2 linked regions of the Oreochromis niloticus genome follow. The protein of the gene in region 1 interacts with the protein of each later gene in a biochemical or structural test. Links are inferred from orthologs where the notes say so. Each region holds a gene or a part of one and is shown on either strand. Other genes may lie near its edges.

Region 1 (3,755 bases):
GAGTTGCTTTCAATTTCAAAGCATATTAGACAAACATTAGTGTTCATGGTATGCTTAACTTGCATATGAACATGTATTAAGTTTGCGTTGGAATGGTGACGCATGATGATACAATGCCACGGCTCCCCTTTCATTTGCATACTCTACAAAGCACACAAACGTGTTCCCTATCAACTACATTTCCAGAAAAACCACAATCCTCACATTTTTTTATGCAAGTGATAGAAGGAGAACTTTAGAAGGGCGACCTAGAATTATTGCTGATGTGGCATTAGTGTTGAATTTCACAGCAATGCAAATTTGGTCTGAATGGTAAGGTTGCAATGCCTTTGATATAAGCCAGATCACTTTTTGATCGTCCCTTGTGACGAACTAAAGAATAGCATCACAGCTCTATGCACATCTGAACTTTTTACTGATTACAAGACTACATACGAAGCCCACGAAGTATTCAGAAAGACTCAAGCCAAAAGAGTTAAATCAGTTGAATGAATAATAGCAGCAAACACGCAGAAATGCCTCACACAGTGAGATAAGTAATAGTATATACAACAACTGCAGTAAGCAGTAAGAGCAAGGTCGCTACACTACAAGCTGTGTCCTGTTTCTGTGGACAGCAGCATGATTATAATCAAAGGGGGCCTCCTTAATTTAAGTAAAACAAGCGACTCATCCACATCAACGCTGTTTTACTCCAAATAAGCACATGCTCGCTAAAAAAGACTACAACAACGAAATCAGCACAATCGGATCTACCGTTCGTCCGTCCCGATGCTCCAGATCCAACAAAATCTGTCTGTCCGCCGGCTTCTTTGGACTCCAGGCCCCAGCAGGCTGCTCTCTTCTCCGCTACAGTGGAGCTCAGTGTGAAGATTCAGCCTTACAGCCGAGCATCTTGGAAATTCTTGATATCTTGTGTCAACGTAATATCACTACGTTCATATCCGGGTACACTGAGTACTTTTATTCACACATGGGCCAGTGTGGACGAAGAAGAAGAGCTCCGACTCCACGTCACCTTAGAAAATAAAAATAACGACGACTCGGCTGAGTTTTCCGGAGTGGGCGGAGAAACAAGAATACACCTGAAATCTTACCGGTTAATCCCAGCCGGTGACAAATTTAACTCACAAGCAATGTAAAATAAACGTGGAGTATTTACGGTCTTTAACGCCTCTGGAAATTATGAACTAAAAGGTGGGAGTTCGCGGCTTTCGACGGTGTTATTTTTTCCCCCTTTTTCCTATAAACCGGATTTCCTTCAACAGTAAATAACCAATCAGTGCCTTTGCGGGTCTTCCGTGTCGGAACTCAGGGCTGATTAATCAACCTTGCACTATCGATGCACGGTTTTTCGGAGTACCTGGAAGTGAGGCGCTCGGTAGATCGATAGAAAATGCCTGCTATTTGATTTCCCGCGAAACAGTCAGTTCCTCGCGCGCTAGGACGTGGAGCGGCTGCACGAGCTGAGGTGTTTTACTAAATTGGTGAGTCCGTTGTAAATGTTAACAATATATAACCTGCAAGCTAACTTTGATAGTAGATTGCTGCATCCTGTGGCATTTTCATTAAAGTCAGCTGGTACACACTAGTAGATCAAAGCCAGGATACATTTCTGCTCGGCAGTTTGCTTACATGAACTCGTCGATTTAAAGATCATTGTAAATTCACAAACCTGGCACACACATTGCTGAGAGATAACAAATGAGGCGGAGCTCGTCTTTTAATTGACATCAAGCCTCCGTTAAAAAAAAAAAAGAGCTTCATATTTGTAAACAACTTGTACTGTGACCTCTTTGTTTTCTCAAGCTTCTGCAGACCCGACCTGTACCAGTGATAGGGGCCTTTGTGAAATGCAGTGGGGATGGAAATGACACAGCATGTTAACCACAGAGCTTCACTCTCTCTCTCTTTTTTTCTCAGATTTTCTGACACAATGGGAATACACGGACTTGCCAAGCTAATTGCTGACCAGGCCCCTGGTGCCATTAAAGAGCAAGACATAAAGAACTACTTTGGTAACTGTTCCAGATTACACTCCTTATACATCAGTGATGCATGAGTTTCAGTCTACCCTCAATTTGTTGCAACATACAGTATGTAGTATGCATGATGGAATGCTAACTCTTTATGTCATTGTTGAATGAGCACCTCTTTTCACCTTCTGTAGGCAGGAAAATTGCTATTGATGCCTCTATGTGCATCTACCAGTTTCTGATCGCTGTGCGACAAGATGGTAACGTTCTGCAGAATGAAGATGGAGAGACAACAAGGTACTGCTGCAACAATAAACATTTAAAATTGAATAAGAAGACCTAATTGTAGATCCTTCATAGATGCAGTAGTTCCTCTGTTTAACCTCAGTGATTTGTAACTTAGGTCTGAACACACAGGAATGATTTTTGCCTTTACTCCTTTCTTCAAGCCACTTAATGGGAATGTTCTACCGCACCATTCGCATGTTGGAACATGGAATCAAACCTGTGTATGTGTTTGACGGCAAGCCCCCACAGCTCAAGTCAGCAGAGGTGAGTAAGGATTTCCTCTGGCCCTCACCCATCTGCAAATGGAAACATTTGTACTGACAGCTCTCTCTTATTCTGCTTGTGTCTTCATCTTCCAGCTTGAGAAAAGAGGGGAGAGGAGAGCCGAAGCTGAGAAGATGCTTGCCCAGGCCCAAGAAATTGGTAAAGACTTTTCTGGGGGGGGGGGGGGGGTTGTTGGAAGTTGCTAGTTTTTAAACCACACTTGGACTCAGACTATATCACAAGTATTATAGGAAAGTCTGTGAACATGTTTTACTTTGGGCATGAAAGTCTAATTGGATGTTTTTCTCTCTCAAACCAGGGGAGCAAGAGAACATTGACAAGTTCACTAAGCGTCTGGTTAAAGTCACGAAGCAGCATAATGATGAGTGTAAGAAGCTCCTGACCCTGATGGGAGTGCCTTACATTGAGGTGAGATTTCTATTTCTACACATTCTTGTGGCATCAAGAATATTTGCACAGTTATTACACAGTTTGGAGACATCCCTCCCATGAATGATTTGTGTTTTAGTGTTCCTACAATGTTACAGGCTTCTTATCCTCTTACCCTTACCAAGTTACAGTTATACAGTCCAGCTGGGGTCATTCACACAGAAAGACAGAAATGTAATTAAATTATGCCTAAAGCTTAAAAATATACATGAATTGGGATTCTGCAGTGCAGTTTGAGGTAGTTGCATTAAGACAGATTGTGTGTACCATTCTGTTAGATGTAATTTAATTTATTTTTTTCATTTCCTTAAAGGCTCCATGTGAAGCTGAGGCCAGCTGTGCTGCTCTGGTTAAAGCAGGGAAGGTGTTTGCCACGGCAACAGAGGATATGGACGGGCTGACCTTTGGGACAAACATCCTTCTCAGACATCTCACGGCCAGTGAAGCAAAGTATGAACCGGCATCACCTTTGACAGAGATATTAGCAGAGTGGAAATGACCTAAAGTTGTTGCCTTAATTCTACATCAGATTTATGTTTGCCATATAAATATATGTGTATATGAGATGGTTCAAATGAATAAGTTCACACTTCCAATTCATAAATTTGAACCAAGTTATGAGGTTTTAGGATTTGGTAGTTTGATAGTCGCCATGCAACATAAATAGTCAACTACAAGCTGTTTATTATTGTTTCAGGAAACTTCCTATTCAAGAGTTCCACTTCAGTCGCATCCTGCAGGACATCGGCCTGACCAATGAACAGGTAAAGTGTTCTT
Region 2 (3,755 bases), about 24 Mb from region 1:
AACGCTCGTGTAAAATCCCGAGTCTGGCGAGGTGTTAACACCTTCACTTCCTGTCCGACCGCAGGTAAAAAGATGAAAACGCTCCAAATATTTCAGCATATTTCATCTAAACATCTAAAGCGACATAAGGCTTCAGGTTCTGTGTGTCACCTGTCGCAGGTAACATGAGGCCCGAGTTTAAACATGACATTATTTTTTCTGCATTGTTGACAAAAATGTCTAAATCTGACTTCTCAGGAAAAGCTGACATAAACATCGTGTTCACATTCAATCCAATATTTGTCCTCCTACATCGGGCCGGGCGGAGGGCTGAAATACAGGAAAATGTGTTTCTTCACATATTTCAAACGAAAGGAATTTAGTGTCATGTTAAAAAAATGCCGGGCAGTTTGTTACACGTAACCGCGGCAACAGCTGTTACTGAAATGACCCAAATCCAGAGAAATAAAGCTGCAGATCTTCTCTGTATGAGTCCGTGTTTGATCTGAACATGTTTAACCTCCTACCAGGAAGTTGGAGAGGTTCTTCATCCTGTCCACGATGTTCTTCATGGTCTTCAGGGGAGGGAGGTAGATGCTGACCTGCAGTGACACAAACACACAACCCGTGATGGACAAAACAAAGTCAGCGCTCATAAAAAGGATGATTTGGTGTTCGGAAGCTTCGCTTACATCAAAGTCCGGCATGCTCGGCTCTTTGAACTCGTGCCACAGTCTCCGGGGGATGACGTCAACGGGGACGTCGTGAGTGACGACTCGACTGACGCTGGACAGGGTGGGCTGGGCGGCACAGAGGAAGAGGGCTCAGGTTTCTCAGATTAAAGGTTCAAATGAGTTAAACCAGTTTTAAAAGCAGCCAGAAAAACAAGACGAGCCAATATGAGCTGTCTATGGCTCTGCTTTTGGCTTCTAGATTTGACTCTTGTTTAGTTTCCTCTCAGGGTTTGGTCGACACCTCAGCTGCGTTTATTGTTTTCTGGCCTTGGTTCACACTGGAGTGAACCACTCCACATTATAAATGTAACTGTTTGATAAACCTGTGGCTGGATTCTGGTTCGGAGACCTGGCCGTAGATAAACTTATCCCCAGATGCAGCGTATCGTCCGATATTATGAATAGTAATGTGAAATTAAACCTATATAATTCGAGCTGTAGCAGAGACAGACTTCTCAGGTAAACTGAGTTTTTTCTCGGATGCTCTCACCAGCTCGGCGGCGATGGTGAGGCAGGGGCAGTGCTTCTTGGTCAGTTTGACTTTGACCGCTTTGGCGTTCTGGACCGTCTTCAGGGCTCTGGACAGATTCTCCGGAGTCACCTCCAGACAGATCTCGTTGTCCTCGGAGGACACGCCCTCCATCTGGTACTCCTCAAAGAAGTTGGCCTGCGGGGAGGAAGGACGGGATCAGGGTACTGAAATAATTTAATAGGTCCTGATCATCTCAGACTCATTCCTGAGTTTATTTTCTTAGCAGCTGGAAGCCGGAGCGTCGGCTCTCACCTGTGACAGCTCACACCACATGCTGACGCCGCCGTTGGCCACTTTACCGGACAGAACGAAGAACAGGTTGTCCGGGGTCAGCCGCAGGACGCACATCTTTGTCAGCTTTGAGATGGTGGTGACGACTCCTGAGAAAGATCAGAGGTGTGAACCAGGAGCAATATTTAATCAGTCACACGCAGACTCGGTTAGTTTTAATAATAGTAGTTAATAGTTTAGTTTAATTAGGTATCTGATCTGCACTTCTGAATAACATGACCCTGATAAACACACTAAAAACAACAATTAATACTACAACTATTGAAAACTAAGTACAACTAGACATTTTAACATTAAAACTTACTTTCAAAAACAAAAATGAGCTAAAAATGAAAAGTGGAAAACTAGAGCAGCTCCACAGAGCCATTAAATAACAGATTACTCATTCAGCATAAACATACAGCTGATATTTTTGTGGTTGTTCATGAATCGGTCCAAATGTGCACTCATAGCCCTGCACAAGACTCCACGTAGATTTCGTTGAATTTAGATAACACTAATCAGGACAAACCACCAGTTAAACTGTCAAAGTCTGCGGCTCTTTGAGCACATGCTGTAAACCGAACTACAGACATTTCCTAACATGTCAGAAAAGTTAAAGAAAGAACAAAGTCCCGCTTCAGGAACTTTAAATTAGGTGTACTTTTATTTTCACAGTTTCTGTGCAGCATTTGGAGGGAAGCTAACAGCTTAGCTTCGGCCCTCGGTACAAACAGATGTTTGAGACTCACGGGTGAAGTGGTTCAAACAGGCGATGTCGATGATTTTCCCCCGAAACTTCATTTTTCCCCCGGGCAGCAGAATTTAATCTTCCGCTTTGACTTCAGGCGGGGAACTTTTTCATTTGTTTGGTCCGTCTGTGTCTACGGTCCGACGGAAACAACAGCCACATGGAAACTGTTAATCTTTCCGCCCAACGAAAGGAGAAAACAACCAGCAGAATTAAATATGTGGCACGGGGACCAGAACAGGGCCCTTTAAATGGTCTGTACAGGGGCAGAAAACTGTAGCGGACCAGTGCGGTCTATATTTTTACTTACATACTGTTGAAATCACACTTTTCAGTCTGTTCATTATCTTTTTGTAACTGGGATAGAAAATAACTTCAAAGATCCGTTTGGCAGCTTTCACCTAGAGTCAGCTTTTTGGTGAACACAGAATGTTCTTCACACTTAAAGATATGATGTCTCGTTAAATATTGGTCACTATATAACAGTTTTACACCCTGTTCTAGACCAATAAAAACACGAAAAACCCTCAGAAACAGCAGCCTGTGCATGCTGTGGCTCATTTTTACTCTGTGAGGTAATATTAGGATCTTATCAGAAAAATTATACTCAGACAATCCTGTAAAAAAAAAGAACTTCAACTTCCAGAGAGAAAAAAGGCAACAACTTTTAAAAACCTTATTTTGTGGCAACTTTTCAATGTTTTTTTTAATTTAATTTAATTTTTTTTTAGAATATTAGACTAAAGCTTGTCTACATGCATTAAATTAAAGATATTTTTCTTCAAAATACTTAACAAATAAATAAGCATCCTAAAGTGCCGCTGAGTGTATTTATTTATATTTTTATTCATATAAATTATTGATTTGGACACATTTTCTCATATAAATTTAAGTGACATCAGGCGTGTAAATCTCATGTGTCTTTGAAGATTTAACACAAACCTACATTTTACCATCAGACGGAAACAAGTTTATTCCCATTGCTGAAGCATCACACTGTGATCATGTTTGTTCTTTTTCATGTGCTCATTTATCGTCTCTGAGTTTTCTGAATTGAGTTCATTTTATCGCTGACACACATCATTTGTGATTTTCTTTGAACGTGTTTCTAAAAATAAGGAGGTAAAATATTTGTGTCTCTTTATCAGCTGAAAAACACCTCAGTCGATCACAGTCAGCTGCAAAAACAATAATAATAATAATAATACATTTTATTTATAAGCGCCTTTAAGGCCCTCAAGGTCACCTTACAATAGCACAAGAAGAATAGCAACAATACAATATAATAAATGTGGCAAAATAAAATTTAGACATAAGGTAAAAAAACAACAACAACAACAAACTGGCATGAAAGTATAAAAGCTGAGCAAGGTAAAAATGGACTAAGACAGAATCAGGTGTATGCAATTCTGAATAGATGGGTTTTGAGATGGGATTTAAAAGTGTGTGGTCCGTAGAGCAAGTGGAAGTGCATCCAAAGTCTCGGGGC

Evidence for each region.
Region 2: the proteins of fen1 (region 1) and hus1 form a complex in vitro, tested with the Homo sapiens proteins (2 studies listed by BioGRID). The link is inferred for Oreochromis niloticus from reciprocal best matches to the Homo sapiens genes FEN1 and HUS1.

What each region holds. Positions count from the first base shown.
Region 1 is NC_031974.2:24,375,446-24,379,200, forward strand, and holds the start of fen1 (flap endonuclease 1), read left to right. Parts: upstream 1-1,350; 5' UTR 1,351-1,487; intron 1,488-1,923; 5' UTR 1,924-1,936; coding exon 1,937-2,018; intron 2,019-2,170; coding exon 2,171-2,273; intron 2,274-2,425; coding exon 2,426-2,528; intron 2,529-2,623; coding exon 2,624-2,687; intron 2,688-2,847; coding exon 2,848-2,957; intron 2,958-3,291; coding exon 3,292-3,428; intron 3,429-3,675; coding exon 3,676-3,742; intron 3,743-3,755. UniProt on the Homo sapiens protein: Structure-specific nuclease with 5'-flap endonuclease and 5'-3' exonuclease activities involved in DNA replication and repair.
Region 2 is NC_031974.2:193,578-197,332, reverse strand, and holds the start of hus1 (checkpoint protein HUS1), read right to left. Parts: upstream 2,455-3,755; 5' UTR 2,320-2,454; coding exon 2,268-2,319; intron 1,626-2,267; coding exon 1,498-1,625; intron 1,381-1,497; coding exon 1,204-1,380; intron 780-1,203; coding exon 672-779; intron 582-671; coding exon 507-581; intron 1-506. UniProt on the Homo sapiens protein: Component of the 9-1-1 cell-cycle checkpoint response complex that plays a major role in DNA repair. The 9-1-1 complex is recruited to DNA lesion upon damage by the RAD17-replication factor C (RFC) clamp loader complex.